4 linked regions of the Pelodiscus sinensis genome follow. The protein of the gene in region 4 interacts with the protein of the main gene of each other region in a pairwise test. Links are inferred from orthologs where the notes say so. Each region holds a gene or a part of one and is shown on either strand. Other genes may lie near its edges.

What was found.
Region 1: the proteins of MTUS2 (region 4) and TSGA10IP interact in binary tests that used the Homo sapiens proteins (3 or more experiments, as listed by UniProt). The two-hybrid records come from large-scale screens. The link is inferred for Pelodiscus sinensis from reciprocal best matches to the Homo sapiens genes MTUS2 and TSGA10IP.
Region 2: the proteins of MTUS2 (region 4) and CCDC60 interact in binary tests that used the Homo sapiens proteins (3 or more experiments, as listed by UniProt). The two-hybrid records come from large-scale screens. The link is inferred for Pelodiscus sinensis from reciprocal best matches to the Homo sapiens genes MTUS2 and CCDC60.
Region 3: the proteins of MTUS2 (region 4) and TCEA2 interact in binary tests that used the Homo sapiens proteins (3 or more experiments, as listed by UniProt). The link is inferred for Pelodiscus sinensis from reciprocal best matches to the Homo sapiens genes MTUS2 and TCEA2.

Annotation. Positions count from the first base shown.
Region 1 is NC_134721.1:33,087,851-33,094,921, reverse strand, and holds the start of TSGA10IP (testis-specific protein 10-interacting protein), read left to right. Parts: upstream 1-4,071; 5' UTR 4,072-4,086; coding exon 4,087-4,233; intron 4,234-4,673; coding exon 4,674-4,855; intron 4,856-5,462; coding exon 5,463-6,157; intron 6,158-6,409; coding exon 6,410-6,605; intron 6,606-7,071.
Region 2 is NC_134725.1:10,039,600-10,046,423, reverse strand, and holds the start of CCDC60 (coiled-coil domain-containing protein 60), read left to right. Parts: upstream 1-3,824; 5' UTR 3,825-4,375; coding exon 4,376-4,810; intron 4,811-6,824.
Region 3 is NC_134728.1:4,614,972-4,622,057, reverse strand, and holds the start of TCEA2 (transcription elongation factor A protein 2), read right to left. Parts: upstream 3,003-7,086; 5' UTR 2,863-3,002; coding exon 2,794-2,862; intron 1-2,793. UniProt on the Homo sapiens protein: Necessary for efficient RNA polymerase II transcription elongation past template-encoded arresting sites.
Region 4 is NC_134711.1:299,547,272-299,555,081, reverse strand, and holds the start of MTUS2 (microtubule-associated tumor suppressor candidate 2), read left to right. Parts: upstream 1-4,800; 5' UTR 4,801-5,038; intron 5,039-7,810. UniProt on the Homo sapiens protein: Binds microtubules. Together with MAPRE1 may target the microtubule depolymerase KIF2C to the plus-end of microtubules. May regulate the dynamics of microtubules at their growing distal tip.

The sequences.
Region 1 (7,071 bases), on a different chromosome or scaffold from region 4:
TGATGGCTACCACCAAACTGCCCCAATTCAAATTGGGCATTGAATTTACCCAAAAGGAGTGGAATGGGGGAGGGTTCAAGTGCCACAGCTGAGGTGCTGATCTCCCAGCACAGGTGCCCCAGCTCTGCCACCATAAGCAGCAGCACCTGAGTCAGCAGAGAAAACCAGGAGCCACGCCCCCTACCAAATGTGGCCTAAAGGCAAGGGCTGTAAACAAGTGCCAGTCACACAAGCTGTAATCAGAGACTAGTGCCCTCATCCCTTCAATGGGCAGCCTCCCTGCTCTGACCAGCCTCTAACCTCTCTCAGCACCCTCGTGCTATGTATATACCCCATTATTCATCCCACTCTATGTACCCCCCTTTTCTCCCACTCCATGTGCTACCTGGCCTCTCCATGTTGTATATACACCCAAATATTCTCCTCCATGTGCACACCCTCTTGATCCTGTCATTCTGTGCACCCCTGACGTTCTCTATCCTGTATACACACATATCCCTTGCCCCTTTCTCCCTGCCCACTGTGCAACCCTCACCATCACATATGCCCCTGCCCTGACTCTGACATGTGCATGTCACTCCAGTTCTCTTTTCCCACAGCAGCACACACACACATATACAAACCCTGGGGAATGCTCCCACATTGTCATGTTGGGGCTTGAATCCTCAGGAAGCCAAGGGCGTGGGAGAGACAGGGAGGGAAATAGCAGGCGCCAAGATGCTGCTCCAGAGCCACAAATGGATCCTGAATGCTTCTTGCCCAATGTTGCCAGCCAGTCAGGGTGGCGCCAGGAATGGGAGAAGAATTCACCACCCCAGGGAAGGTTTAGGCCCTAGCACAGCTCAGCCATCTTGGGAGAAGAATTACACAAAATGGCTTCCAGCAGCCATCTTTGTGTTTCCACTGACCTGCCAACAGCCATTGCATCTTGTCATGCAGCCATCTTTGTGCCTCCCCTATTCATGACCATTCTCCTCCTTGGCAGCCATCATTGTGCCAATCTTTCTTGGAAGTCATCTCTCTGTGTTATTACCCTGACAACCATCACCCCTTCTCTGGCAGTCATCTTTGTTTTGGAACTTAGTACTGCCCCCTAGCTCCATGGACCTGTGACGACTGGGAAAGGGGCACCCCCACTTCCATGCCAGCAGTTGCACTGTAGGGCAGCATCAAGATTGGGTATCATTTCCTAAGGGCCCAGGCCTGGGAACCACTGGCAGAGCTGGGGGGCCCCTTCCCTGTGGGTCTGTGTTGAGGCAGAAGAAGCAGGCTCCATGGAAGCCCCAGCTCTGCTGACCTCAGCCCTTAAAGGAGCTGCCCTGCTTAGAGGAAGTGAAGGGGATACACCTCACCTCCCCCTACTGCATTTCCTCAGTAGGGTTGCCAGATGGTTTCAACAAAAATACCGGACACACTTGACATTACATCACAATCTACATTACATCTTATTTAGAAGATACTGGACATTGATATTTTCTCATTTATATTTTCTCAATTTATTTCCCAAACAGAAAGCTCAAATACTGGACTGTTCTGTTCAACACTGGACACCAGGCAACCCTATTCCTCAGGGAGTCTGGGCCAGTGAGCCAGGGCTGCAGAATACCTCACACTCCCTTTGGGTATGTCTACACTACCCCCCTAGTTTGAACTAGGGGGGATAATGCAGTCATACGGAGTTGCAAATGAAGCCCGGGATTTGAATTTCCCGGGCTTCATTTGCATAAAGCCGGCCGGTGCCATTTTTAAATGCTGGCTAGGTCGGACCCCGTGGCACGGACTAGCTAGTTTGGATTAGGCTCGTGGAACGAGGTATACAGCTAGTTCGGATTAGGAAGCCTAATCCGAACTAGCTAGTCCGTGCCGCGTGTAACCGCGCGGCACGGGGTCCGACCTAGCCGGCATTTAAAAATGGCGCCGGCCGGCTTTATGCAAATGAAGACCGGGAAATTCAAATCCCGGGCTTCATTTGCAACTCCGTATGACTGCATTACCCCCCCCTAGTTCGAACTAGGGGGGTAGTGTAGACATACCCTTTATTCCCAGCACTTCAGCTTCCGCTGCCTAATCTAGAATACCCCAGTGTCCATTGATTTCCAGTGCCCCTGTACATCCATTCCCAGTAACCCCTATTGCCCATCCCAGCTGCCAGTGACCTTCCCTATTCCATTCCCAGTATCCTCACATCACCCAGCCTCTGCTGTTCCAGCTCTTGCTGATAGCACCCCATCAGTCCCCCCAGCCTCTAGTGTTTGGCCCCCATTACTACTACTCCAGTCCCCAGGGCCCTTATTACTCCTTAGTGCCCCCATCTCTCCCTTGTGGTGCCCCATCAATCCCCAGCCTTCCCTTCACCAGCCTACAGTGTCCTCCACTGATTCTCTCTCCACCTAAGATCTATTGCCCCTCCTCCAATCCTGTTTATCCCACAGACACATTTGCTCCTGGCAGAACCCCTCCCCCCTGCAGTTGTTGTTATTGCAACAGGAGCTGTCAGGGGTTATTAATAAGGCCAGTCCCAGCCCAGAGCCCCTGCCAAGCCAGTTCAAGGGGAGGGGAGGGACTCAGCCGCTTGTTGTTGTAGCATGTTTTGCAGTTAACAGTGTCCTTTCTGTGCCCTGCTGGAGAAACACAGACAGAATTCCCTAGACTCAATCTGCTCAGACTTTTTCTCCCAAAGATTCCTCCACCTCACCCCCACCCCCAATCCAACCTAACCTATCCCCACCAATTTCCACTTGTCCAACCTAAGCCTCAGCCAAGTCAGAACCCCACTTAGAGCTACAATAACTGAGCCTGAGATCTCCAGCTCCCTCTCCAGCCCTAGTTCCCTCCACCAGCCTTAAGCAATGTCCCCTTCCTCTGGCCTATGTCGATTCACGCTCCACACAGAGTTTGCATCCCCAATCAGGAGCCCCACACTCAGGTTTACATGATCCATAAAGTGCAGGAAAGAGGAGTGAATTTAAAGGAGGCCATACCCTGATCCCCACCATCTCTCCCCTTCAAAGTCTGCAGCTGGACACCGAGAGATGGGACCTTACAGGAACCTCCTGTCCTGGGAAGAGACAGGAAATTCTGGGAATCAGAGGAAACAGTGTGAAGCAAAAAGGAATTCTTGCTCCCCCTCTGCCTGGCTGGGCTCCCAGGCAGAGATGTAAACAAGACTATAATTATAGGGATCATGGCTGAGAATGAGCTATCCAGGACTCTGGCTGTTCCTACAGGGGATTAGTGACTCAGTGCTGTCCCTAGTACCTCAGGTGATCAAAGGGTAAAGTGCTGCAGAAAGCAGTATGGGAAGATCAGAAGGGGGAATTCTCCTTCACTGCAGGCTCCCAGTGCCCCAGAGTGGACTAAGGGCATTGTGCTCCTGGCAGGCACCATCTTTAAGTTCTGCAGTAAAATCCAGGGGTTTGTCTCTAATGTTATTATTTATTTGCATTATAATAGCACCAAATTTGGTGCCTCATTGTGCCAGGTGCTGCATGGATCCCAAACAAGATTGGGATCCCATCACTCTGGGAGTTGCACAGTGACAGTCCTTGCACTGAAGAGGTCACAGTAAAACTATAGAAAAAAATGAGGGAAACTAAGGCACAAAATGGGATGGGGGGAGGCAGAAGAGATTTTCAGTTGCAGAGTCAGGAATAGAACCTAGATGTCCTGAGTCTCAGTACAGTACAGTACCCCACCTTCTGGACCACATGTGACCCTAGAGATTGCCTTCTCCCTTCTCCTTCATCCCTTCCCCATGGCAGATACGCGCCAATATGTTGGATGGGCCATGGCATTGTTCTGAATGATTGTGTGTTCCTCATGCCTTTTATGAGCTGCACAATGTCCCTGAGACTAATGTTGCCCCTCCCAAGCTTTCCCCTTCTTGGGGATCTAACAGCACAGTCTCTCCCCTCATGGGCTGCTGGCCAGGATCAGAGCCATGGTCTGTCCTTCATCCACAGTTACTATGGTGACCATATAGTGGGGGTGAGGCCAGGCTCTGGAACCCTCCCAACCATGGCCATGTTCTGGAACATGGCCAATCACCACAGTAACAGCTGGGGGGGGGGAATTCAGGTAGGCACCATGTTGGGGGCCCACCGCCACTCTATGTTCACCAATGCTTGCATCAGCCCCTCCCTGGATCCCAAAGCCCGGGCGCCTGGCACCCTCTACCAAAAGAAGGGCAGGGTGCACCTGTTAGGACTGCTTTCAGGCTCCCTTCCCCAAGAGGTAACTCCTGGTACTCCCTGCCCCCTTTGTGTACTGGCATCCCACAGTCCTTGGGGGCCCAACATCTGTTTTCGACCACCCAAACTCTACCTTCCTCTCCCTGCTGTGAAGGACTCCCACAACGGGCAAACACCCAGGGAAAAATTTGGGGCTGCAGTTTGTTTTTGTAGGGTCTCCTTACCTGGCACGTGTCTTTCTTTCTCACTGTCCTGTGTGGATGTTTGTAGAGTGACACTGCTGGCTAAGTAGAGAGAGCAAGGGAGTGGAGTTAGGATGCACTACTTCCAGCTTTAGGAGGGAGTGTGGTGACTAGTGGACTAGGTAGTTTTGAGCCAGGACCTACTGAGGGAAAGGCTTCCTGTCCCAGTCTCTGTTGCCTGAGCCAGCCAGTCCCCTAGAAGAAAAGCCAGGTCCTTCTTGCCTCTGCTCTGCGGTTTCAGGAGGAGGTTTTCAATAATGGTGATGGAATCGTGGTCTTGATGAGGAAAGGGAGGAGAAAGGGGTCACCCAGAGGTCCCCCCTCAGGGAGAAGAGGCAGCCGGGTCCCATGCTGCAAGATGCAGGAGTCCTGTGTGAGTGACACCTGTGATGGGGACCAGGACTCGGCCCAATCTGCAGGAAGGTAAGTAGGATGGATGGGATCCTTATGGCCATTGGGCCAAACTTATGCTTGCTGCTGCTGCATAGAGATTTTATTAGTAGTGTCCACATGTGCCGACTGAGATCAGCACCCCTTTACGGCATGTGCTGCACAGATCCCAAGACCAGGGCCACAATTGTGCTGTGCACTACATAGACCCTGACCAAGATTGGGGCCCCCATTCTGCTGGGTGCTGCCCAGGCTCGTCAACCCAGATCAGGGGTCCTCATTGTCCCAGATGGTGCACAGATCCAGACCAAGATTGGGACTCCACTGTACTGGGCACTGGACCGACACGCAGTGAGAGACAGTCTCTACCCCAAAGGGCTTGCCTTGTAAAGAGACAAAGGGAGAAGAGTGGGTTCTACTGGGCTAGAGCCATGAGGAGGGGGGCAGCTAGGAGTCTGTTGCTGGCTCAATGTGAGATGTGGTCATGTCTATGGTATGCCCTGTAGATGAACCCATTGGCTTAGTCTAGGGTAGCTGGATAGGAGTAGCGATGCTGGGCTCATTAGCTGGGGGATACCAGGCTAGGTGGCTCCATTGCTCTGATCTGAAACTCATCATCTCCTTTTCTCCCTACCACCAGGCAGAGAGACATTCCTAAGGACCCATTTCCCTCCAAGTCAGCTCCTGCCTGCACCCTTGATCGCCCACCCCATTGCTCCCGCCCCTCCTTCCCCTTCCAGTGGATGTGGGAGGAATTCTCACTCAACGGCCGTGCCCTGCTCCCAGCCCCTTCCCTGGACCAGATGAAGAAGGGGGAGCCCCGCAGAGCTCCCAACAACTCTCCCCGTGAAAGTGTCCACCCCAAGAAGATGGGTTTGCATAGACGTGCAGACCAATGGGCTGGCAGCTCACAGGGGCACAGCAGCACTGAGGGGGGCAGGGTTAAGCGAGTACCCCACCCCACCTCCAGCAGCCTCTCCCCACTGTATTGGAAGATGGAGGCCCGGAGTGAGGCCCGCAAACGCCAGCTCCGGGAGGAGAGGAGGCACTGGCTCCAGCTGGCTCAGCAGTTGCTGAGTCTGGAGGAGGCTGTGTCTTCCCCGGCCTGGGAGACGTCCACCTCTGCCCAGCAGCTCCGGGCCAGGCTAAGAGCTGAGGCTCTGTGCCTGGCCACAGAGCCACAGGACCCAAGCCCCAGGGGGCACAGAAGGAAGGGCAAAGGGCTGGCCCCCAAAGACAAGATCCGGTACCAACCCATCATTAACCGGACCATCCCTGACTTTGAGACACTCCACAAGAGGTTCCAGGAGCAGCTGGAGAAGAGGAAAGTGAGAGGTGAGCCAAGGAGATGGATGCAGTTGCTTTTGGGGGCTGTTTAAACGGAACCTCATGCCCGGCACTGAGATGGAGCTGCCTCTGATGTGGGACTGCTTATACAAAAATCCCTGGAGTAGGAGGCACAAGGGCTGATTATTCAGAGACTCTTCCCCTGGCAATTAAGATGCAACTGTTTCTGGCGTGGGAAGTGCAGCTGATGGGAAGGTTCAGGAACCCTCCATTAATACTTTCTGTGTTTTCCTCCACCAGCCAAGATGACCATCTACAAACCCTTCCATCTCCACATGGCCAGCAGCTCTCAGCACCAACCTGGGGACCAGCTCAGAGACTGGGAGCAGCACCAGCTCTGGAGCTTCCACTGCAGGTCCCAGTCCTGCTCAGAGTTCGACCCCTTCCTCTCAGTGCCACCCACCAGAGCCTCTGACAAACGGCAGGAGGCCACCAGGTATGGACAATGACCTTCAGTTCATTCACACCCCAGTTGTTCCAGCCCTGGCTTCCCTCAGCTCTGCTGCGGCCCCTCTGCCATCCCCTCCCCAGCGCTGCTGGTCCCCCATAATCCTGACCTACAGCTAGGGTGGCTACTCATGCATTCCAGAAATACCAAACATTCCAGTGCTACTGGGAATGGCAGGAGCCCACATCTGCCAGTGCCGCACAAGGGGCGCTATTTTGAAGAGCACACAGCCCACCTCTGCCAGCATCATCTGACACATGTGGCGTGCATGCCAGGTCACACCAGAGGGGGCAGAGAGGCACTCTTCATTATGGCATCTCTCATCTGATACTGGACAAAGCCACATTGTTTTTCTCAGTACTGGATAGAAAGGCAGGATAGTCTGGCTAAAAGCAGATAACTGACATGCCAAGCTAGAGGCCCCTGCTATCCCAGGCCTGGGTTTCAGCACACA
Region 2 (6,824 bases), on a different chromosome or scaffold from region 4:
AGGGCAGGTTGCTGGTGGGTGTCTGGCCAGAGGAAAGGGAGCAGGGCAAGGTGCTTGTGGGTGTATGACCAGAGGATAGGGGCAGGAGTAGGGTACTGGAGGAGGTCTGGGCACAGGGCAGGAGCAGGGTACTGGTGGGTGTCTGGCCAGGGAAGAGGAGGCAGGAGCTGGGTGCTGGTGGGTGTCTGGGCAGGGGACAGGGGGCAAGGGCAGCTCGACCGGTACCTGGAGGGCTTCCAGGGACAAGGATCTCTGGGGCAGGATCTGCAGGCAGTTCTGGAAGAAGCACATGTGCAGCTCCTTTAAGAAATCTAGTCACTCCAAATGCTCCACCGCAGTCTTAATCCCCCCACACTCTTCCTCTCTGGAGCACAGGGGAAGGAAGGGAAGAGAAGAGAAGAAAGCTTGCACACTGCTGTGGGGCAGGGACAAGCAGCACATGCTTCCTGAGAAACTGTCTCAGAGGTTCAGAACTTCTGCCCCCATCCTCCTGCCATAGGAAGCCAGCGGTGGTTCCAATTTTGCGAGGGTCAGGAGACTGTAATGCCAGCATGGACTCCTCATTGGGGGGAAGGGAAGATGCAAAGAAGGGCTGGGAACACTGCATTGAGATTGACTGGCAGTGCCTCCACAATCGACCAGTTGATCACGATCGACTGGTTGGTGACCACTGATATATAGCAATATAAACTAGTCACTGCCTGTCTGAAATTTTACTTTTGTACCAACTTCACTAGTGTTTTTAATGTAGCCTTTTGTAAAAGTAGGCAAATATCTAGGTGAGTGGATATATCCTTTGGTAGACCACTGTGAACCACAGCTAGGAGGGTTTGATAAATTATTGTAAAGCATTGCTGCAGAAGATGACATCTTGAGGGCAGCTACGATACATAACTATTTTTTAAAATCTCATCTTATTTCTAGCAGAGTATTTAAAGAAAAATAAAATAAAATGGAAGGGGAGTACTGTGGGCTTCCCCTTCCCCCTTCACACACACTTAAGTCTCCCTTTTGAGAAACAGAACATGTATTTGTAAGTACTGCCCTCAACGTTTTAAACCATTCCTTCACTGGAAACTGTGTATTACACATAATACGCTATTTCTGCAGCTATTGCATGTATTGTCAGCCAGTAAAGATATAGTATTAAACTCATCTTGAATTCTCATTTTCCACCAGTTAGGGCTCCTTTGACAGGATTTGTGTGAAGTTTGAAAAGTTTTACTGAAAAAGCTCTCTGACAAAGCGAAATTACGGAACGGTTGTTTTTGTAGAATGTGGATGTTGGAGTTAGGAGACCTGATTTCTAATTTTACACAGCTCATGCGCTAGGGGAGGAGGAACTCCCCCTTCACTCGTTTTATCGCTATTTCCAATGAAGCAGAAGCAGGTTCAGTGTTTCCTTGACTCAAGGAACTTCAGATCTCTACTTCATTGTTCCAGTCTAATGAATGGGAATAAAATGCTTCACAGTGTTCTGTGCTATTATTTAGCTGTAATTTACTCCTAAGTGTCATCTAAGAGCCTAAAAGTCTAGAGGGAGTAGCTGTGTTAGTCTGTAACTTTAAAAGCAATGAGTAGTCCTATGGCATCTTAAAGACTAACGAATAAATATATATATAGTATCCTGAGCATTTGTGGGCAGAACACACTTCATCAGATGATCTCGAGACATGACACCTCAAACTCATCTGAGGAAGTGGGTTTTGTCCATGAAAGCTCTTGATAGTATATATATATATATATATATATATATATATATATATATATATATTTGTTAGTCTCTAAAGCTACATCTACATTGCACTTTCTTGCACAAGAACATATGCAAATGAGGCACGGTGATGAATATCACTGCACCTCCTTTGCATACTTAATGAGCCACCATTTTACACAAGAGGCTTTTGCGCAAGAAGGAGCAGTCTACACTCATTTTCAGATCTTCTTGCACAAGAAAGCGCAATGTAGACGTAGCCTAAGGGTATGTCTACCCCAGGGCTACGTGTACACTGGCAGCTTCTTGTGCAAGAACTCTTTTGTGGAAGAGTTCTTGTGCAAAAACTCTTCCACAAGAGAGTGTCTACACTGGCATGTGCTTTTGCACAAGAGCATCCATGGCAGTGTAGATGCTCTCTTCCGCAAGAAAGCTCTGATGGCCATTTTAACCATAGTGGCTTCTTGCACAAGAAATTCATGTTGCCTGTCTACACTGGCCTCTTCTAGAAGAGCTCTTGCACAAGAGGGCTTATTCCCGTGAGGGAGTGTCAGAGTTCTCGCACAAGAAGTCCTGATTTTCTACAGAACAACATCAGCTTACTTGCGCAAGAACGCGCGGCCAGTGTAGACAGGAGCCATGTTTTTGCGCAAGAGCGGCTGTTTTCACGTAAGAACGTGCCAGTGTAGACACAGCCCAGAGTTTTGTCAGAAAAGCAGCTGTTTTCCCGACAAAACTTAAGGAATGTCCACACTGCAATTGCGTTCTTCCGCAAGAAAATCAAAAGAACAGAGGGGTTTTTCTGGCATTGGTAATCCTCAATCTACGAGGAAGAAGCCTTTTCCCAAAAGAGCTCTTTCGCAAAAAGGCGTGTGTGGACAGGGAAGAGGGAGTTCTTTCGGAAGAAGAGGAAAGAGGAAAAAGCATAGGTACCCTGGTGGTCATTGCGTCCATAGCAATCACAGCTTACATGCGTCTGGACTCTCTTCCGAAAAAAGCTTCTTCTGAAAAAAGCCTGTAGCCTAAAAGTGCCACAGGACTACCCTTTGTTTTCTAAGAGCCCAGTAAGCTGTGGATGTGATGGTAATACTGCTAGACAATACTGAATGCCTGTGGTTTGGCAAATTCTCAGGTTCCAGGGATGCTGGACTAGAGAGGTTCAACCTATATCCCATATAACACATAATGACATGCAATTGTTAGGACGTTTGTTGGTTCCCCTCTCCCCCCATTTCTGAATCTGTTTCTGTTCCAGCTTCAGTCTGCCGGGCTTGCAGACCTTGCCCGCCTCTTCTAGCATGGGTAATGCAGTGCAGGGAACTGGGGTGGGTTGCAATCGGGGTGCTGGAACAGTGTGTACAGTGGGGGTGCCGAGAGCCACTGAGCTGTGCACCCTGCCTTGCACAGGCTGCACACACGGGAAGCTGGGCGTTGCAGCAGCACGCTCAGTTCTCGCCCCTCCCGGTTGGCACCGCTCCCCGCTGTCCCGACGGGGGGAGGGGCTCTCCCCCGCGGCAGGCTGCGGGTGCGGAGTGTGGCGGTGAGGGGGGTGTCCCGGTTATCAGAGCAGAGGGGGCTCGGGATGGGCCCCAAGCGATTCCCTCCGCGGCAGGACCTCCGGCTGCACCGCCTGGTCGCTAGGAGCGTGACGTCAGCAGCCGAGCCCCGCCCCCCGCCGCCCCACCTCGGCACCGCCAACGCGGGCAAGGCGGCCGAGGCCCGGGTCGCGTTGTCAGGGCAACGGGGACGCGGTCTCAGGCGGCCGGCCTGGGCAAGACGCGCCGCTTCCGGGACACGCGCTGCTCGGCACCTGCACTCCCGGGGGAGGGGGTATCAGTGGGGGAGGGGCTCAGCACCTGCACTCCTAGGGGGGAGGGGGTATCAGTGGGGGAGGGGCTCGGCACCTGCACTCCCGGGGGGAGGGGGTATCAGTGGGGGAGGGGCTCAGCACCTGCACTCCTAGGGGGGAGGGGGTATCAGTGGGGGAGGGGCTCGGCACCTGCACTCCCGGGGGGAGGGGGTATCAGTGGGGGAGGGGCTCGGCACCTGCACTCCCGGAGGGGGGATCAGTGGGGGAGGGGTTCAGCACCTGCACTGGGGGGGGGGGACTCAGTGAGGGTGAGGATCAGCACCTGGACTCGGGGGATACAGTTGGGGGGTGTCTCAGCACCTGGACCCCAAGGGAGACACAGCGGTGGGAGGGGCAGGGGGGACGCGAGACGTGCTCAAAGAGAGGGTTGAGGGGATTCAGTTGAAAGGGGGCATCAGCTACCCTAACTCGAGAGGGTGTGTCTCTGAGCTGTGTGGCTCCTGCTCCTGAGCTCTGGACAGGGGTCTCTGTGCTATGAGGGCAGAGCTAGGGGGCCCACCTGTTGTCTTGTTGTTCAGAATACAAGTCACAAGGAGACGGTTTTTATTGTGTCTTTTGAAATGATTCCATAAAGTTGTTCATTGGGATACCAGAGAGCACTCCATGTAACTTTGTGTGTTGCAGGTTTGCTGGCCTGTCAGTTTGTTTGGTGGGGCAGCCAAGTTGTGGGTTTGGTCATTAATTACTTAGTTCCCTTGACTGAGGGTACTGCACAGTGGATTGGTTTTCTCTCAAGTTATTTTGTGGCAGATACTTTAGTTATTCTACCTTGTAAATTAAAAGGAGGGTCCATGCAGCAGGTGACTGTTGGTTTGCAGGGCTGTGTTCTGCAGCGGGGGGGTTGCTTGGAGGTGAAAGGAAGAGGATCAAGATCATCAGTAGCATCAGCAGAAGCACTAGGGTCTCAGACAAGGACCGGTATAATCAGCAAGACCAGGATGCCTGGGAACACTAGGACTTTGGATCCTCGTTACTTTGTACTAATAAGACCCTTGCCCATCCCCACACAGAAAGGTGCAAAAGTCCAAGCTAGAAGTAGCACAGTTTATAATTGCTGGGAAGCCACAAGAGAACAAATATTTTGGGAGAGCTACCATCGGAGGCACAAGCAACTCACTCAGCATGGGTATTGGACACCCAGCTGGAAACCATACCAGGAGCTTGGAGAGATTCTCTACCTAGAGCCAAAGAAACTCACCCTCCACTATTTGGGACAGCTGCCTCAGGTAGGCTTTCCTCTTCTCATTCCTGGTTTCCATAAAAAACAGAGCATCATCATGTAAGTAAATTGAAGAGTCAATAGTCAATTTCTGCTTAAAGAGCAAAAAGGCAGTGTGAAACATTGTGCCAGCGTATAATTAAGTGTTCTTATATGATCAAATTAATAATCACATCACAGAACATTGGTCAAAAATTAGACCTGAGGAACATGCTTTGACCTTATATTTTGCCATTTGAGAACAGAGAAGTCTTTTAAACTTGGTCTTGGGAATCTTTAATAAGAGCAGTTTCAGTAGAGTGGAGAAATTAGAAAGAAGGTTGGGGAAGAATACAAGAGAAAATTAGGGTAATGGGATTATATAGCATTTTTAAGGAGAGGTAACCTGATCATACTAGAAAACTGCAGTGAATGAGCAAATACAAAATAATTAATGCTGAGGGAAGGATGAGCTAAGAATCAGGAAATGATGGCATCTAGAGGATGGGACAACAGCTTAGAAAATGAGCATATGAGGGACACCTCAGAATTGGAGATGGGAGATGAAACCACCAAACAGTCAAAAGGATGGAGGGTTTGGATTAAGGAGATTTGTTAGAGAGATGGTGTGAAAGTTCTTATGTCAAGTAGGGATAGAAGTTATACAGATTTAAATGTTATAGTGGCATATTTATATTCTGAAATGTGAGTTCACAGAAAGTCTTTTTTGGTTAACTATGATTATTTATATGGTACTGTGACTACCAGTATAACTATCATCTCATTCTGGCCTACTTTGCTGTCACACAGGAACTCTTCCTCTGGTCTCTTTTAGTGTCTGATTTAATCATTGACTTACAATGCCAAAAATATTGTTTGCCTGGTTGCCATGAAATTCAACTGCAAAGTCTTAGTATTTGTTTTCTTCATTGTTGTTGTTTTATTCAAGGAAATCTATAATTTATGGACTTGTTGCTTTTCTTCAAGACAGCAACAACACTACAGTCTGAATTGACCCAGAATGCAGTCACCCCTCCTTCCTCTGTCCTTTTCCTTTCTGTCTTAGCAGTTGTAATGCAAACTGTAGTGACTTTTTGGCTCAGATCTACAAAGGGATTTAGGTATTGCATAATTTTTGAACTGCCTTCTATAATGAATGTACAACTTAAGGTTTTGGATGAAATATTTATAGCTCTAAAGAGAGACTGGTTCCCATACACTATATTTAACTGAATTTCTAACATGCCATCATTTTGAAAGGGATAGACTTTTGGTTCTATAGGTGTGTCGTTGTATAGAAGTTTTGCCAGTATTTTTGCCCATGCCGTATTTTTGCCTTGATGGCATATAACCCCTGAAATGCCCTTCCCTTAGAATCTTAAGTTGGTTCTAGAATCAAGTTTGAACTCTGTTGTTTGAGATTTGAACTAAATGAGCCAGTTAAAATGTGTAATTTCTGTTGAGTAATTTGATCTAGACCAGGAAGGTGCATTGAAAATACTGTTTATAATGGTAGCAGATTAAATTACAGGTTTTCAAGTCCAGTAGGGGGATTTAGTCACTCAAGTCCTGTTCATTTATATGGGTGTTGTGTGCCTAAATGCCCCCTAACATTTGAAATTCTCAATCTTATCTGCTATACATTTGAGAGAGTTTGTCTGTCTGTCTGTCTATAACAGATGAAAACTCCTCCAAAAGGTAAGAGCTAGGACCAGCTTTCTAGAATACAGCTTTCTCTTATAACTTAAAGCAATGTAAGAGTTTGGTTGTGCCAGGAAAATGGGATGTGGCTGGAATGGGATTGTTACTTATAAAACCATACAGAAAAGAGACAGAATCACCAGAGAGGTGAAAGGGGCTGGCTCATGGCACACCCTCCACCTATCCGGAACTGCACCAACCCCGAGCCTTCCATCCCCAGGTACACTTTACGGAGGGTGATTGGGGCTGAAGCTCCCCTTTCTCAGATTCATATGGAGTCATTGGTGGCTGTTCCCCTTGTCAGGAAGTGAAAAGAAAGTGCACAGTTTGCTGCATTCCTC
Region 3 (7,086 bases), on a different chromosome or scaffold from region 4:
CTGCCTGCTGGTCACTGACACTTGGAAGACAATTCAACATTCAAATCATTTTCTAAAGAACACCCCACCTCGTTGGAGCGGAGGACCTCTTTTTAACCATGTGATTTCAGGGGAAAGCAGATTAATTTTTTTTCAGGGTTACTGCACAGAAGGGAATTAGGGAGGATGAAGAGTTCTGGGGAGAGAAAGCATATTGGGGGGCAGTCTATGGATCAGCAGTGTCAGAGAAAAATTTGAGAAATATCTGTTGTATAAAGGGAAGGTTAAGAGGAGACACAGATCTGCACTTGGGGAAGGAAGCTGAGGATTGACAAGGGAAAACAAAGGCAATAACAGAAGTTGGGGAGAACTGGTGGGTGAAGAGGAAGGAAGAAAGGATCAGTCCCCAGGAGGGACATGCAGGAGGAACTGCAGGGGAGAAAGGAACTGAAGGAATTCCCTCACTATGGCTGTGAAAATTGACGAGGCGTTTTCCTATCAAAGCTTTCTAGGCTGGGAGACAAATGGTCGCCACATTTAGGTAGGAGAGAGCAGAACATGTCCCCTCTTCTCTGGCCTTTGGAGAGGAAAAGCCCCTCTTCCCTCCTCAGCATCCTACACCTGCTCTTCACACCTCTGGCTACTGCGAGGTGATGGGAGCTTCCCTTCTGAGGCACGGCAGTGATGACCAAGCGACAGGACACAGTGGAGACCTCAGAGGGCTGAGAAGGCTGCAGGGTGCGGAAAGGAAGTGATGGTGGTTGTGAGTATGCAGGTGGTAGTGGGGAAGTCGTAATGGGAAGACAGAAGGAAGCAGATGGGAGGATTATGGAACAGCAAGAGGGGTTCCCCCAGACTCATCGTGCTTTTCTGTGGAGGCCCAATGGTAAATTATAAGGCCACCAAAAGATGAAGGAGGGTTCCCTGTATGCATGTGCTTTTCAGCAGGGCACTGGTGAAGGGACTGTAAGGGCAGAAAAGCATTGATGAGGGCCCATCATTTCTACAAGGAAGCATCAAAGAGCGGGTACCAGGGCTAGAGCAGAGGGCAAGAGGGGACACACCCCACAATGGTGTAGAGTAGACTACAATCCCAGAATTTGGTTTGGCTGCAAGATGTTTGATAGAGGATAAGAGGGCACTGGAGGGAGATCTATTTGAAAACAGGTGAAAGGGTGCTATAGGCATACACAGGGTGGAGACATCAGAGGGGTTATATGGGGTAATGCACAGGAGGGGGGCATCAGCAGGCTTTAGCGGCTGTGTTGGCAAATATTGGGTATTCTGGCAGGGTGCTGGAAGGGGGCTAAATGGGCAGGTCAAAGTAAGGGGAAGCAAGAGAGTCTACAAGGGTGGCTTGGGGTGTGTGGTGATGGGGATATAACAGGGAACAGAGGAGGGGATGTGGGGAATGCTCCATGAAGGTGATAGGAAGAGGGGACCCAGGCTCAGAAGAGGACAGAGGGGAGCCCTGAGGGGCTGTGGGGAAAAGGGCATGGGGGGAAGAGGGTTGCACACACCCAGACAGAAGGGAGTGAGGCAAACCCAGGAGAGAAGGGGACAAGCAGAGACGCTGCGGGAGGAGGGTGAGAGGTGGGGACATCGTGCGGGGAGTCAGAGGGCGAAGAGCAGGCAGGATGCTGGGGGTTTCCGGATGGTTTCGACAGGAATACTGGACACACCTGACATCACGTCCCAATCTACAGCCCATGGGACTGAGAAAGGTCCGGTGTTATCGATCTTCTCAATCTGTGTCCCGAACAGAAAGCTCAAATCCTGGGCGGTGAACCGGGCCCCTGGCAGCCCCGGGCGTGGGGCGCTGGGAAAGAAGGGGGCGCTCTGGGGGCACCCCAAGGCAGAGCAGGAGGCGCTCTGGGGGCACCCCAAGGCAGAGCAGGGGGTGGGGCGCTGGGAAAGAAGGGGGCGCTCTGGGGGCACCCCAAGGCAGAGCAGGGGGCAGGGCGCTGGGAAAGAAGGGGGCGCTCTGGGGCACCCCAAGACAGAGCAGGGGGCGGGGCGCTGGGAAAGAAGGGGGCGCTCTGGGGCACCCCAAGGCAGAGCAGGGGGTGGGGCGCTGGGAAAGAAGGGGGTGCTCTGGGGGCACCCCAAGGCAGAGCAGGGGGCGGGGCGCTGGGAAAGAAGGGGGCGCTCTGGGGCACCCCAAGGCAGAGCAGGGGGCGGGGCGCTGGGAAAGAAGGGGGCGCTCTGGGGCACCCCAAGGCAGAGCAGGGGGCGGGGCGCTGGGAAAGAAGGGGGCGCTCTGGGGCACCCCAAGGCAGAGCAGGGGGCGGGGCGCTGGGAAAGAAGGGGGCGCTCTGGGGCACCCCAAGGCAGAGCAGGGGGCGGGGCGCTGGGAAAGAAGGGGGCGCTCTGGGGGCACCCCAAGGCAGAGCAGGGGGCGGGGCGCTGGGAAAGAAGGGGGCGCTCTGGGGCACCCCAAGGCAGAGCAGGGGGCGGGGCGCTGGGAAAGAAGGGGGCGCTCTGGGGCACCCAAGGCAGAGCAGGGGGCGGGGCGCTGGGAATGAAGGGGGCGCTCTGGGGGCACCCCAAGGCAGAGCAGGGGGCGGGGCGCTGGAAGGGGCGGGCGCCTCAGGGCACCCAGGATCCGGCGTGGGGCGCTGGGGGGCGGGTGAGCGGGGGGGGCGCTGTGGGGGGGCGCTGAGCGGGCCCCACAGAGGGACGAAGGGGCGGGGCGCCCCGGGAGCTGAGGGGACGCTGGGGGGGGACCCGGGGTCGAGCGCTGGGCGCTGGGGGGGGGCGATCGGGGGGGTCGGGGGGGCCGATGGGGGGGGGCTCCCCGCCCCCCGGACTCACCGCGCTTTTCTTGGACACCATCTTGTCCAGCCGCTTGGCGATGCGCACGATCTCGTCCTCCCCGCCCATGGCTCCGCGCCCCGCAGCAGGGGGAGGCGGCGGGGCCGAAGCGGGGGGGGGAGGGAGGGAGGGAGTTTCGAGGCTCTCAGTCACCCCGAGGTCCGCAGTCCGCCCGGCCCCCCCCTCCCCGATCACCAGCCCTGCGGCGCGCGGGGCACGATGGGACTCGTAGTCCTTCCGCACAGCCAGCTCGGCGGAGAGCCACTCGCTGGGACTACAGCCCCCATAGGGCAGTGCGACGGCCAGGGCCCACCGCCCCCCTCCGAGGGGCATTGTGGGAGTTGTAGTTCAAGCGGGGACTGTGACCCACGCTCTTGGGGCAGTTTAGGACTACAAGCCCCAGCAGCCATCGGAGAGGCGGGCTGAGTTCAGTGCTTGGCATGGGTGGCTGAGGCTACAGCTGTTTTTAGGGGGGACAGATTGGAGGTGGGTGGGGACGCGGGGCTAGGAGAGGAGAGGTGATGAATGATGGGGGAGGAGAGGAAAAGACGGGGAGAGAGAGGGATAATGCAGAGAGGGAGCCAACGAATGGGGGGAGAAAGAAGAAGGATCAGGAAAGAAAATCCAGTGGGAGTGAAAAATGAAGGACAAGAGAAGGGAAAATAAAGAGAAGGTGGCCAGTAGTGTTTCCTGTAAGCTGTGCACTTGGTGGTTGGCCACCCAGGAGCAATTCAAATGTATTAGCAGAGTGCCCACAATCAGCTTGTGTTTCTGTTGGGGGTGCACATCTGCACATGCCCTGGTGCACATCACAAAATTAATTCTGCACATGAATGGAAAAAAATTAGAGATAACATTAGCAGTAAACTGAGCCTCAGGCTGGCCGGTTCTACAGAGTTAGACCCCCATAAGCTGCTTTGCAGTGACTTGGCTATGGAAGTGTGCTTCACTTAATTTCAGCTCCTGCTGACCTGAGTGCCTCACCGAGTCGCCTCCCCGATTGGTGCCAAATCCCAGGTTGTGTAACAAGGTCTCCCTGGTGTTTGTATGTTACCATTCTTGATGTCAGATTTGTGTCCATTTGTTCTGTTGCAGAGATCGTTCAGTTTGTTCAATGTCCACAGCAGAGGGACATTGCTGGCACATACCACATTAGTAGATATGCAGGTGAATGAGTCTTTGATGACTGATATGGTTGGGTCATGTTTACTTTATGATTCACTGTAGCCTCCAGTGTAAACACGGGCACTTTTCAGGCCTTTCTTGTATTCAGAATTGCCCTGATTTAACTACAGGTCTTGTTTTAAATCACTTTAGTAAAACCACTGTGCAACTCATCAGTGTGGATGATCTAATTTACATTGATTTAGCTGAATTTGGACATTGGGGTTCTGTAGGCCTGCCTCCAGGCGTGTGACTGTAACAGAGTTATGAACCAGGGAGCCTAGAACTTTTGGGGAAAGGCCGCAAATGGTTTAATCAAAGCCATGTTAATAACCACGATTCACACTGAGACCTTGATGGGGCTTGTTTAAAAAACAGGCTTTGTGATTATATGCTTTGAGACGGCTCAAGGTTTCCTTGTTGTTGAGTGAAGAGTGTTTGGGTTAGAAAAACCACGAGAAGTGCTGGCAGGATGCCCGTGATCAGCCTTGCTTTGCATAGATTGAGAAGTAGGGCTATATCTTCACTGCAGCAGGTTATTTCAAAATTGAAATACGCTATTTTGAAATAAGATTGAAATAAGGTACACAATTTGCATCGCTCACATTGCGTATTTTATTTCGAGCTATGGTGCAGTATAGCTGCACCCTAGGAGACCCAGTGTCAGCCAAAAGGGGTTTCACTGGCTGGGCTTCGGCTTTGTTTGGTGTGCATTCTTTCCTCTTGGTGCTCCAAGTTAGGGGTGTTGAGCTTAGAGAATCTCATGTCATGGGGTTTCCTGAATTTCAACAACATGGTCCTAGATTTGATTGTATCTGTTCATCTGATGCTGCCTCCTGCCTCTGGGAGGCAGGAACATCATTCCAACAGTCTCCAATCCAGCCTGCCCTTCCTGAGCTGCCCTAGGAAAGAGTTGCAACCCCCTGCTGAAACTGACAACAATCAATACTCATCTTCCCTCAGAAAAGGACCATCTCTGACACCTCCTCTCTTCTCCTTGGCGATATCTATTTGTCTGTCTGTGCGTGTAGGTGGTTGGGGAAACTTACTTGAGAACACTTTCAGCTTTGCCAGGGAATGAAAGTGGCAAATGAAAGTGGTGTCACACAATGTTGCCAGCCTCCAGCAAGGGCTAAGAACAAAGCTGGTTTGGCATGATGTGGTTTTTCCCCACGCACAAAAGTAAATGATGTAGAAGGGTAAAATGCCTCGGGGGGTTGGTGAGAAGCCAAGCTTGAGATGCCTAGAAAGAACGGAGGAGACAGTACTAGGAATGGGATGCAAAAATAACAACCAAGCATCCGGTAACCACAACAAGGACACCTCACCAGCCTTGGTCCTGCAGAGATCTAGGGCTCTTCTAAAGAGGGGAGTCTTGGGAACCTGTACAGAAAGCAACAGCAGCTGCCTTCACTCCCCGCTGGCCCGAGTTACACTCCCTGCCACTTCTTGCAAATCAAATGACCATACACATGCCATGTATGCTATGATCTTTGGGACGGGCGGCATTTTTGTCACTACCAACAACTAGCCGAGACAAGGATGCCCTCCCACCTGTCCCCTAGTCATCACTTTGCTCTGTAGAAATCGGAATGGGACTGTCAGCTGATGGCGCTAGCGAGGCCACAGGAGCGGTTGAGGTTGGTTTTCTAGCTAGGGTGACCCTATGGCTGCTGCGTCACTCACCTCCTTGTATAGTGCAACCAGCCTCCAGCACAGTTCATTGATGGCAATGAAGCATTAAGAGCTATCTGCTGGGTGTGGCTGCGTGGGGGCAACATGGTTTCTAACCAGCATGCTCAGCAGCGTTCGAGTGGTTAACCCACATCCTTCCCAAACTTTGTCCTGCCATCCGGGTATCGACGGGGAAGAATGGCGGCTCATTGGTGGAGGATGCAGCCATGTTTCTGAGCAGCAGAAAATATTCCAGATCCCAGCATGCATGTAAGATTGCACAGTAACAAAGTGTTGCTGCAGCGTCTCATTGTTATTCCACACCGGGAGCGTGTCTAAAACCTCTCCTTTCTGCCGAGCAGGCTGGCAGTACCGGCGCTGCCTTCTAGGTAGATGGTGGTTTTACAAGGAAAACAAGATTGGGTGTCCCAGAACTGTTCCCATGGAGCCATGGAAGCTGGATTTATTGACGCCGTCAGTGACAGGAAGAATACTGCCTGCAGATGTGGTTGCCTCATCTCAACAAAGAGATCTTGGCATTGGAAAAGGTTCAGAAAAGGGCAACAAAAAGGATGAGGGGTTTGCAACAGGTCCCATGGGAAGAGAGATTAAAAAGACTTGGGACTTTTCAGCTTAGAAAAGAGGACAGTAAGGGGGGATAGGATAGAGGTCTATCAAATCATGACTGGTGTGGAAAAGGTGAATAAGGAAATGTTATTTATTTATTTAAAATATTTGTACCCCGCCTCTCTATTTAAAATATTTGAGGTGGCTTACAACATGTTTAAAACACAGGATAAATATATATAAAAAATGAAAATAGCAGATCCCAGGAGGACATAAAACCTGCTAAGACATCTCAAGAGAAGGAACATACGCTCTCTCTCTCTCTCTCTCTCTCTCTCTCTCTCTCTCTCAAACACCAATAAAAGCACGAATAAAAAGGGTGGCTTTAGCCTGGCGCTGAAACAATGCTAGCACTGGCGTCATGGGAATATCCCAGGGGAGAGAATTCCAAAGTCTGGGAGCAAAAGCTGAGAAGGCCCCTGCTCCGCGTAGATGTTAATCTTATCTCCATAAGTGAAAGAACATGGATCAGAGCCCCTCCCAGCTGACGTCAGTGCCCGGGCAGGTTCATATGGGAGAAGACGGTCCTTCAGACACCCTGGACCCAACCTGTTTCGGGCTTTATAAGTTATAACCAGGACCTTAAATTGTGCCCGGACGCCGGTGCAGCTGCTACAGCACTAGATAATGTGCTCCATATAACGAGTATTAGTTAAAACTCGAGCAGTTGCATTCTGGACCAGCTGAAGTTTCTGAAGGCTCTTCAGAGGCAGCCCCACGTAAAGTGTATTGCAGAAATCCAATCGGGATGTAACAAGAGCGTGGATCACTCTGGCCAAGTCATGCTTGTTCAGGAAGGGTCGGAGCTGGCGGATCAGCTGAAGCTGC
Region 4 (7,810 bases):
AACTCAACCTTATGAGGGATTCTTAGAGTCCTTTTCTGAGATGAAAACTAGCTTTGCTGACAGGGTTATGTTCTTGAATGCTCTCAAAACACCCAAGCCAGCCCAGATGAATTTCATGTGCACTAATGAACACATGCACACTTCTTAATAAGGGACTTGCTACAGTATGTTGTTAGCTTGTCATGCTACAACTACTGTACTTACAGCCCTCTGTACTATTACTGATACATGGGTAGTACTAGTCTGTCAGAAGAAATGCTAGAATACTAATACTTAGTGCATATGTGGGCAAAAGATAAGATGAACTACTCTACAGTACAAGAACAGAGAAAATTCATAATGAGCTTTATTCAGTGCCCATTGAAGCCAACTCTTGAGTTAATGGATATTGAGTCAGGAACTCTATGGTAAATAGTACCAAATATATTACAAATAAATTACATTATGGGTGTATCATAATCTGTAACTTTGTTTATTTTACATAGCAGGCCTTAGGAGCTGAAAAACAATGCATGCTGGCTTTCTCAGGAGTGTATCTTTAGCATATTTAGTATCATGGTATAAACTTGCACAGAGCTTGAAAAATATAGCCAAGACCAACTGCCATACAGACCTTGTTGTTCATGGAAAACTAAACAAGACACCGGGCAATAGCTCAAAAATAAAAGTGTAAGGATTATTACTTGAAGAATCAATTTTTAAAGAGGGATTTAGAGATGCAAGGTTCTCTTTGCATATTTTGAAGGTAAAGAGAAATGGAACTTGAGAGAGAAGAGTATTGGAGAGTAGCCAGTCAAGGAAAAAATCAAGGCCAACAAAAATTAGCACACATGCAAGCTGGTTATTTGTTCTCAAAAAGCCAATAGCACATGTAACTGGTAACTTCAGGAAAATAAATAGAATCAACATACAACTATTTATTAAGAACATAAGAATGGCCATATTGGCTCAGACCAAAGGTCCATCTAGCCCAGTATCCTGTCTTATGACAGTGGTCAAGTTCCCCAGAGGGAATGAAAAGGTAATCATCAACTGATCCATCACCTGCCACTCATTCCCAGCTTCTGACAAACAAAGGCTAGGGACACCATTCCCACACACCCTGGCTAATAGCCATTGATGGGCCTATCCTCCATGTATTTATCTTGTCCTTTTTTTAACCTTGTTAAAGTCCTGGTCTTCACAACATCCTCTAGCAAGGAGTTCCACAGGTTGACTGTGCATTGTGTGAAGAATGCTTCCCTTTGTTGGTTTTAAAACTTCTACGCATTAATTTGAGTGACACCTAGTTCTTGTGGTATGAGAACAAGTAAGTAGCTTTTCCATATTTACTTTCTCAATACCAGTCATAATTTTATAGACCTCTATCATATCCCTCCTCAGTCTTCTCTTTTCTAAGCTGAAATCTCTCCTCGTATGGCAGCTATTCTAAACCCCTAATCATTTTTGTTTCCCTTTTCTGACAATATCATTTTTTGAGATAAGGTGAACACATCTGCATGCAGTATTCAAGATGTGGGCATACCATGGATTTATATAGAGGCAATAAGATGTTCTCTGTCTTATTCTCTATCCTTTTACAATGATTCCTAACATTCTGTTTGCTTTTTTGACTGCTGCTGCACATTGAGTGGATGTTTTCAGAGAACTATCCACAATCACTCCAAGATCTCTCTTGAGTGGTAACAGCTAATTTAGCTCCCATCATTTTATACATATTAGTTAGGATTATGCTTTGCATTTATCAACATTAAAATTCATCTGCTATTTTGTTGTCCAGTGACCTTGTTTTGTGAGATCTTTTTGAAGCTTATCTCAGTCTGCTTTGGACTTAACTGTCTTGAGCAGTTTAGTATCATCTGCAAATGTTGTCACCTCACTGTTTATCCCATTCTCCTGATCATTTATGAATATGTTGAATAGGATTGGTCTCAGTACAGACCCCTGCAGGACATCACTAGTTACCTCTCTCCATTCTGAAAACTTACCACTGAATATATGTATTTTATAATAATGTAATTATTTTTGTTTTCTAAATTAACTTCATCTTCTGGATATGCCAGGACCTGTCTGTTAAGCTCATGTGTCCAGGGATCACTTGAGTTTTGTACAGCAGGTTGTACATTATCATGACTTTAACTTCCTACTTTTTGTGTGACATAGCTGTGACCCTAGCAGACCAGTTGCCAAGAGCCCTAGGTCTTAACTGAACAGTGACAACTATACAGATGGAAACCCATCAGGCTCACATGTGCTAGTATTGTTAAAATAGGTATTTGCATTATGAAAATGTGTTGAGACTTTATGATATGCTTCTAAATTGCTGCATGCATTAATCTCTCTTAAAATATTTAAAAAACAACAAATAGTCCTGCAGCATTTTAGAGACTACCAAAAAATGTAGATGGTATCATAACCTTCGTAGGCACAACCCACTTCTTCTTTAGACTTCTTCAAGAAGAAGTGGGTTGTGCCTACGAAAGCTCATGATACTATCTACATTTTTGTTACTCTCTAAGGTGCTGCAGGACTATTCATTATTTTTTAAGTTTTTTCAGTTACAGATTAACATGGCGACCCCTCCGAAACTCTTATAATATTTGTACCCCATGTCATAAGATAAGATTTATGTGTTTGCACTGAAACTGTAAGTCCATCAGTCAGGAGAGAAGTATTAATGAGTGTGAAATATTAGTTTACCATAGCAAACTAGTTTGCCCAGCAAAAAACCCATTGACAAACTATTGTGGAATGCCAGAGGACAAAGACTTTGATTGCTCCCCACCACTCAAGAAGAGATCTGCACTGAGTCTCTTCCCATCAGCTTGAAATCTGCCAGAAAGGAATAAAAATTCTTATCAAGGAAAAACTATATGTTGTTTGAACTCTGAGGGGCAAGAATTACTAAGCATAAGTAAAAGATCCCCAGCACTTGGTCTGTGCTAACCCATAAGGAACTTGCTTATTATAGGATGTTCTACTGCCTTTTTGAAATCTAAGACTAATTCATTTATGTGTGTTTGCCTCATTAATATCATAATCTCATTTATTTTTTAGTTTATTATAGGATTGACCACCAGCATTGTCTTTGTAAGATCCAGGTGCCAGTGACCTATGGTAAGTGACTTGTCCTTTGGGGCTGGGAGTAACATGAATATTGCTGTGCTTTTTTATGTGAGGGACCGTCTATCACTAAGGCAGGCTTGTCTGGGTGGCAAGATAGACTTCAGTACCCAAGAGGACTGGTTGTAACTTTTCATGATATAGTGCCTGAGGAATTCACACATGATATTTGTCTGGTAAATATAAGTACAGGCAGTCCCCGGGTTACATGGATCCGACTTACATCGGATCCCTACTTACAAATGGGGTGAGGCAACCCCGCACCAGCTGCTTCCCTCCAGCAGACCAGAGAGACGCGAAGCTAGCGCCCTCCCCCCCCCAGCAGACCAGGGAGACGCGAAGCTAGCACCCCCCCCCCCCCAGCAGACCAAGGAGACGCGGAGCGGCTTTTCTCAGCAGACACCTCAGCTTGAGAATAAAGGACTGAGGGAAGTGAGGTGTGGGAGAATAAAACTGAGCTCTGGAGAAATGTTTGGCTAGAGTTTCCCCTACAATATGTACCAGTTCCGACTTACATACAAATTCAACTTAAGAACAAACCTACAGTCCCTATCTTGTACGTAACCTGGGGACTGCCTATATTAAACTCACAACCAGTTTGAGGTTTGTGCTCTGCTTCTTCACAATCTTCCCTGCGGTTGGCACTCATGTGTCTGAGCCACTCCCAAAAGCTTGCAAATTGCCACAACTGCATATGGAATTCAGTCATGTATATATGCTTAGGCTGTTTTTTCCTGTTTGTATGTACCAACAGCTCATTTGCATACATTATTGTTGGACTAAAAATCCCTTTCCTAGTCAGTTGTTCAGTCTGCATTTTTGATACATTGCCACTTCATTTGTTCTCCAGTTATAATTTTTCAGATTAGACAAGACCTGAATGTCTAATTTAAAAAAATCTGAAAAAATGTTTTAATTTGTTTAGGGGGAGTGTTAGGGGTCACATCTTAGGCCTTCTTTATAAATTAGGTTTAAGTGAAAGCATATATGAAATTAGAAGCTTGACATTTAGAATGGGAGCTCAGAAATGGAAGGGCTTAAGCATACATTCTGTCCTCAGTAAACAGAGTGCCCCTAAGGTTAGCAACCTCAGGCTACTTCAGACATCCAAATTTCAGATATCAGGATTTAGCACTATCCTAGGATTTCACCTAGGATTTAGCAGAGATCTAGCTTTTAGTGATCCCCCAGTGTTGCCAACTACTGCAACTGTATCTCACAATATTGGTATTTTTCTTTCTTTAAAACCCCAGCATCTGGAACCCTGTTGTTGTGTCAGGAGAATCCCAGCCTTTATTTTAAAAAAGTTGTTAGTTTTCGGGGTTGCACAGGAAAGCTTGAAAATGTGAACCTCAAAGGCTCAAAAAACAGGGCAAAAGAAAATTTTCGAAATCTCACGACATTTAAGTCAACTTTCTGACTTTGGGGGGGAGCTGAGTCGCAGCCTTTAGCTGCCTAGGGTTTGGGGACCTGTGAATGGCCGTAATAAATGCCCACAGAGCCGGGAAATAGCTCTATTTAAAGTGGAACAGCCTTAGAAATAGTTGCTACTTAAAAAAAAAGATGCAGCCCACAATCCTAGGAGCTTTCTTTGCTGCAGCGGTACGATGTTAGGGAGACTGGACTCAGTTGGAAAATCAGCCTCCAAGGGGCAGCGCTGCCGATGTGCCTGCAGAGGGCGCTGTGGCTCCTGCCGTGGCCGGCAGCGGGAGGCTGGGGAGCTGGGAGGCAGCGGGCGCCGCTGGCGGAGGCTGCGCGCTGGGTGTATATATAGCCGCCTGCCGGTGCCAGCAGCTCCCCTTCGCACTGCCTGGGTGCGATGTGAGGCTGTAGCGGGAGCCATCGGCTGGGAGCTGGCGCGCGGCTCCGGCTTCCCTTTGTCCTGGAGGAGGAGACGGGTGCGCCGCGGCCCCAGGTACGGACTCTGCGTCCTGCCCCCGGCAGCTGCTCCCCGCGTGGGCAGGCGCGGGCGGGGACTTCTCGGACCCGGCCACGCGGCGACGGAGGGTTTCTGCGGGTGCCCTGCATCCTCCCAGCCGCGGCTCTGCCTGCGCAAGTTTTTACCCCCCTCGGGGACTAATGCCCGCTCCCCCCATGGCAGCACAGGACCGGCCTCCCCCATCCCAGCCTCACTGAGCAGAGCCCCAAACAAAACCAGCCCGGCCATTGCGTGCTGTGGGGGCGCGCGCGACCCGCCCCCGGCCAGCTGCGCAGGTAGCCCCCTCTCCAGCCCTGAGCCACAGCCGCGCGCCCCCACCCCAGTAGCACGAGGCACCTTCGCTCCAGCCGCACGCAGAGCGCCAGCTCCCCACCCAGAGCGGGATGCGCGTTGCTATTCACGTCTAGGGAGAGCTCCGCCGGCATTTCTAGCCCTCTGGGGCTGGGACAGGTACTGCAGCGTCTGAGGGAGCCACCTCGTCCTCGGCGGGCTGCTCGTGTCACTTAGCAGGGATGATGGGGGAAGCTGGGCTGCATCGTGGGGGTCAGCTGAGACCAGTCAACTGTTCAGTGTTCTAGAGGTTCGGGGAAAGGTGAAGGCTGCATCTGTGCTGGTGTCCGATTAATGCCCGGGAAGAAATGCCCGTTCACTGCCGCCTCCTCCCATCTTAGGGGTAACAAGCACATCTGGTGTGGGAATGCGCACTGAGACCTCAGTGGGTGACCCGAAGGCTTAAGTGTCTGTCATTCTAAACTTTGAATGTTCTCTTCCTCCTTGTTACCATACATGTAAGCACATTTAAAAATATCTTTTTTTTCAAGATGGCATTTCCCTGTAGGATCACTGACCAGCATTGCTCTTAAGGGGCTTGATTTTTGTTTTTGGTTTGTTTTGTGGTCTGTTCATTGGGTCCACTGAGCTTACTTTTAATTTTGCATAGAATTGTTCTAGGGAGAGTGAGATGTATTTTATCCTTCCCTGGAAGGAGGTTATCTTGTTTGTTTATTAATCCTTAGGTGTTTGTCTAGTAAAAGAGTTAATACAGAAAAAATAAATTGAAAAAACTTTAAATAAGACAAGTGGTGCCACTATATTTTAAATAACAATGTGATTTTCTTTGAAACATACTGAATCAAAAAATCCATAGACTATCCATATATTGATAGAGCTATTACTGCCTATATGTGCCTGTATAGGTGAAACACTTTTTGATACTGCTTCTAAAATGCATAAGAGGGAGAAAGTAACATCCCCAGGCTTTGATCATGTGTCCCCTGAAAAGTTCTAAGGAACCTAATGAGTGAAATAGTTAAGGTGCCATTTAGCCCAGTACAGCATCTCAATGAAGGACCAAAGGTCTGGTTAGGTGCTCACTTTTAACAACAGCAACACAGTTTTTGAGCTCAATCTTGCAGAGTGTTGGATACCTTCTGACAAGTGCAAGCATCCGCAGCGCCTAGATTCAGAGGAGCTTAGCTAATTTACTTAAGGTGATGCTCTGACCCAATGTGGCCAGTCTTACTTTAGCAGCCCTCTGCAGCACCTAATTACTATAAACAATAGTAGATACTATAGGTTATAGACTAGCACAGTGGTCCCCAACCTTTTGGGGCTGCCGGGCACCCGGGGGCGGGGCCACGCATGCGCCACGTGCCCGGGGATGGGACTGCACATGTGCCGCGCACCCAGGGCAGAAGCTGCACATCGCAAGAATGGCTTGGGCCGGCCCTGGTCACTCGGCAGGTGCACATAAATGCCCCAGCGGGCACCGCGTTGCGGATCACTGGACTAGCATATATCTTCAGTCACAGGGCTAAATAGGACTTGACTCTGGAGTCCTTACTCAGACAAAAGCCCCATGACTGCAGAATAAGATCAATAGTTAGTCTACCCTTTAGATTACACTGGTCCCTACCATGTTATAGTAATTTACTGGGGGCAAACCACTGTGGCTCTTATTATTGTCTGATGCCTTTAAGTTATTTAAATATATGTAAACAACTTACTTTGAACATTGTTATTGTTTTTGTTACTGATAGAAACATTTCCTACTACTAGTGCAATGTATTTCTTCACACACAATAGCTTATACTTTGCAAAGGATGGGTATAAGATTGTTACAAAAGCACTTGGTAAAAACTCCCTAATTAAAATTGCATTTTGAAATAGGATCTAAATTCCTGGGGTTGCCATTTGGGATGTGGCTTCATGCAGGATTAGCTTTTATATCCTTTGTATTTTCAGGTAGATTCTAGCTGCCTTCTCTACATTAACTTCTATATTTTTGCCTTGGATTTGGGCTATCAGAAAACTGTCCTTGATAGGCCATCTTTTTCACTGTTGAGCAGTGTCTCTAAAGAACCATTCCTTATCAATACAACACTTGGTAGAAAGGTGGATCCTGGCTCTATCTGGTGTGAAGGGGTAGGCTTTGTTTTAAATAATGTGATAAAGGATCACTTTAGCTATTATTCATGTAACAAGAAGTAACGTTCTGTGCATATGAATCTGATTAATTGGTGTCTGGATATAAACAAACACAGTTTGTCATTCTCCTTTATAGCAAGTGTTCTCCTATGGTGAAGTTTCCTAAATGTCTTGTATCCATTGTTTTATTAATGATGGGTTGTGCAGAATTCTATAATAAGTTACTTTGTGTTTATTTTTGCAAAAGCAAAGCCCAGGACACCAGAACTCTTAAGGAAGAATAATACAATACTGCCAAAGAGCTCAGATATAACTTATTAA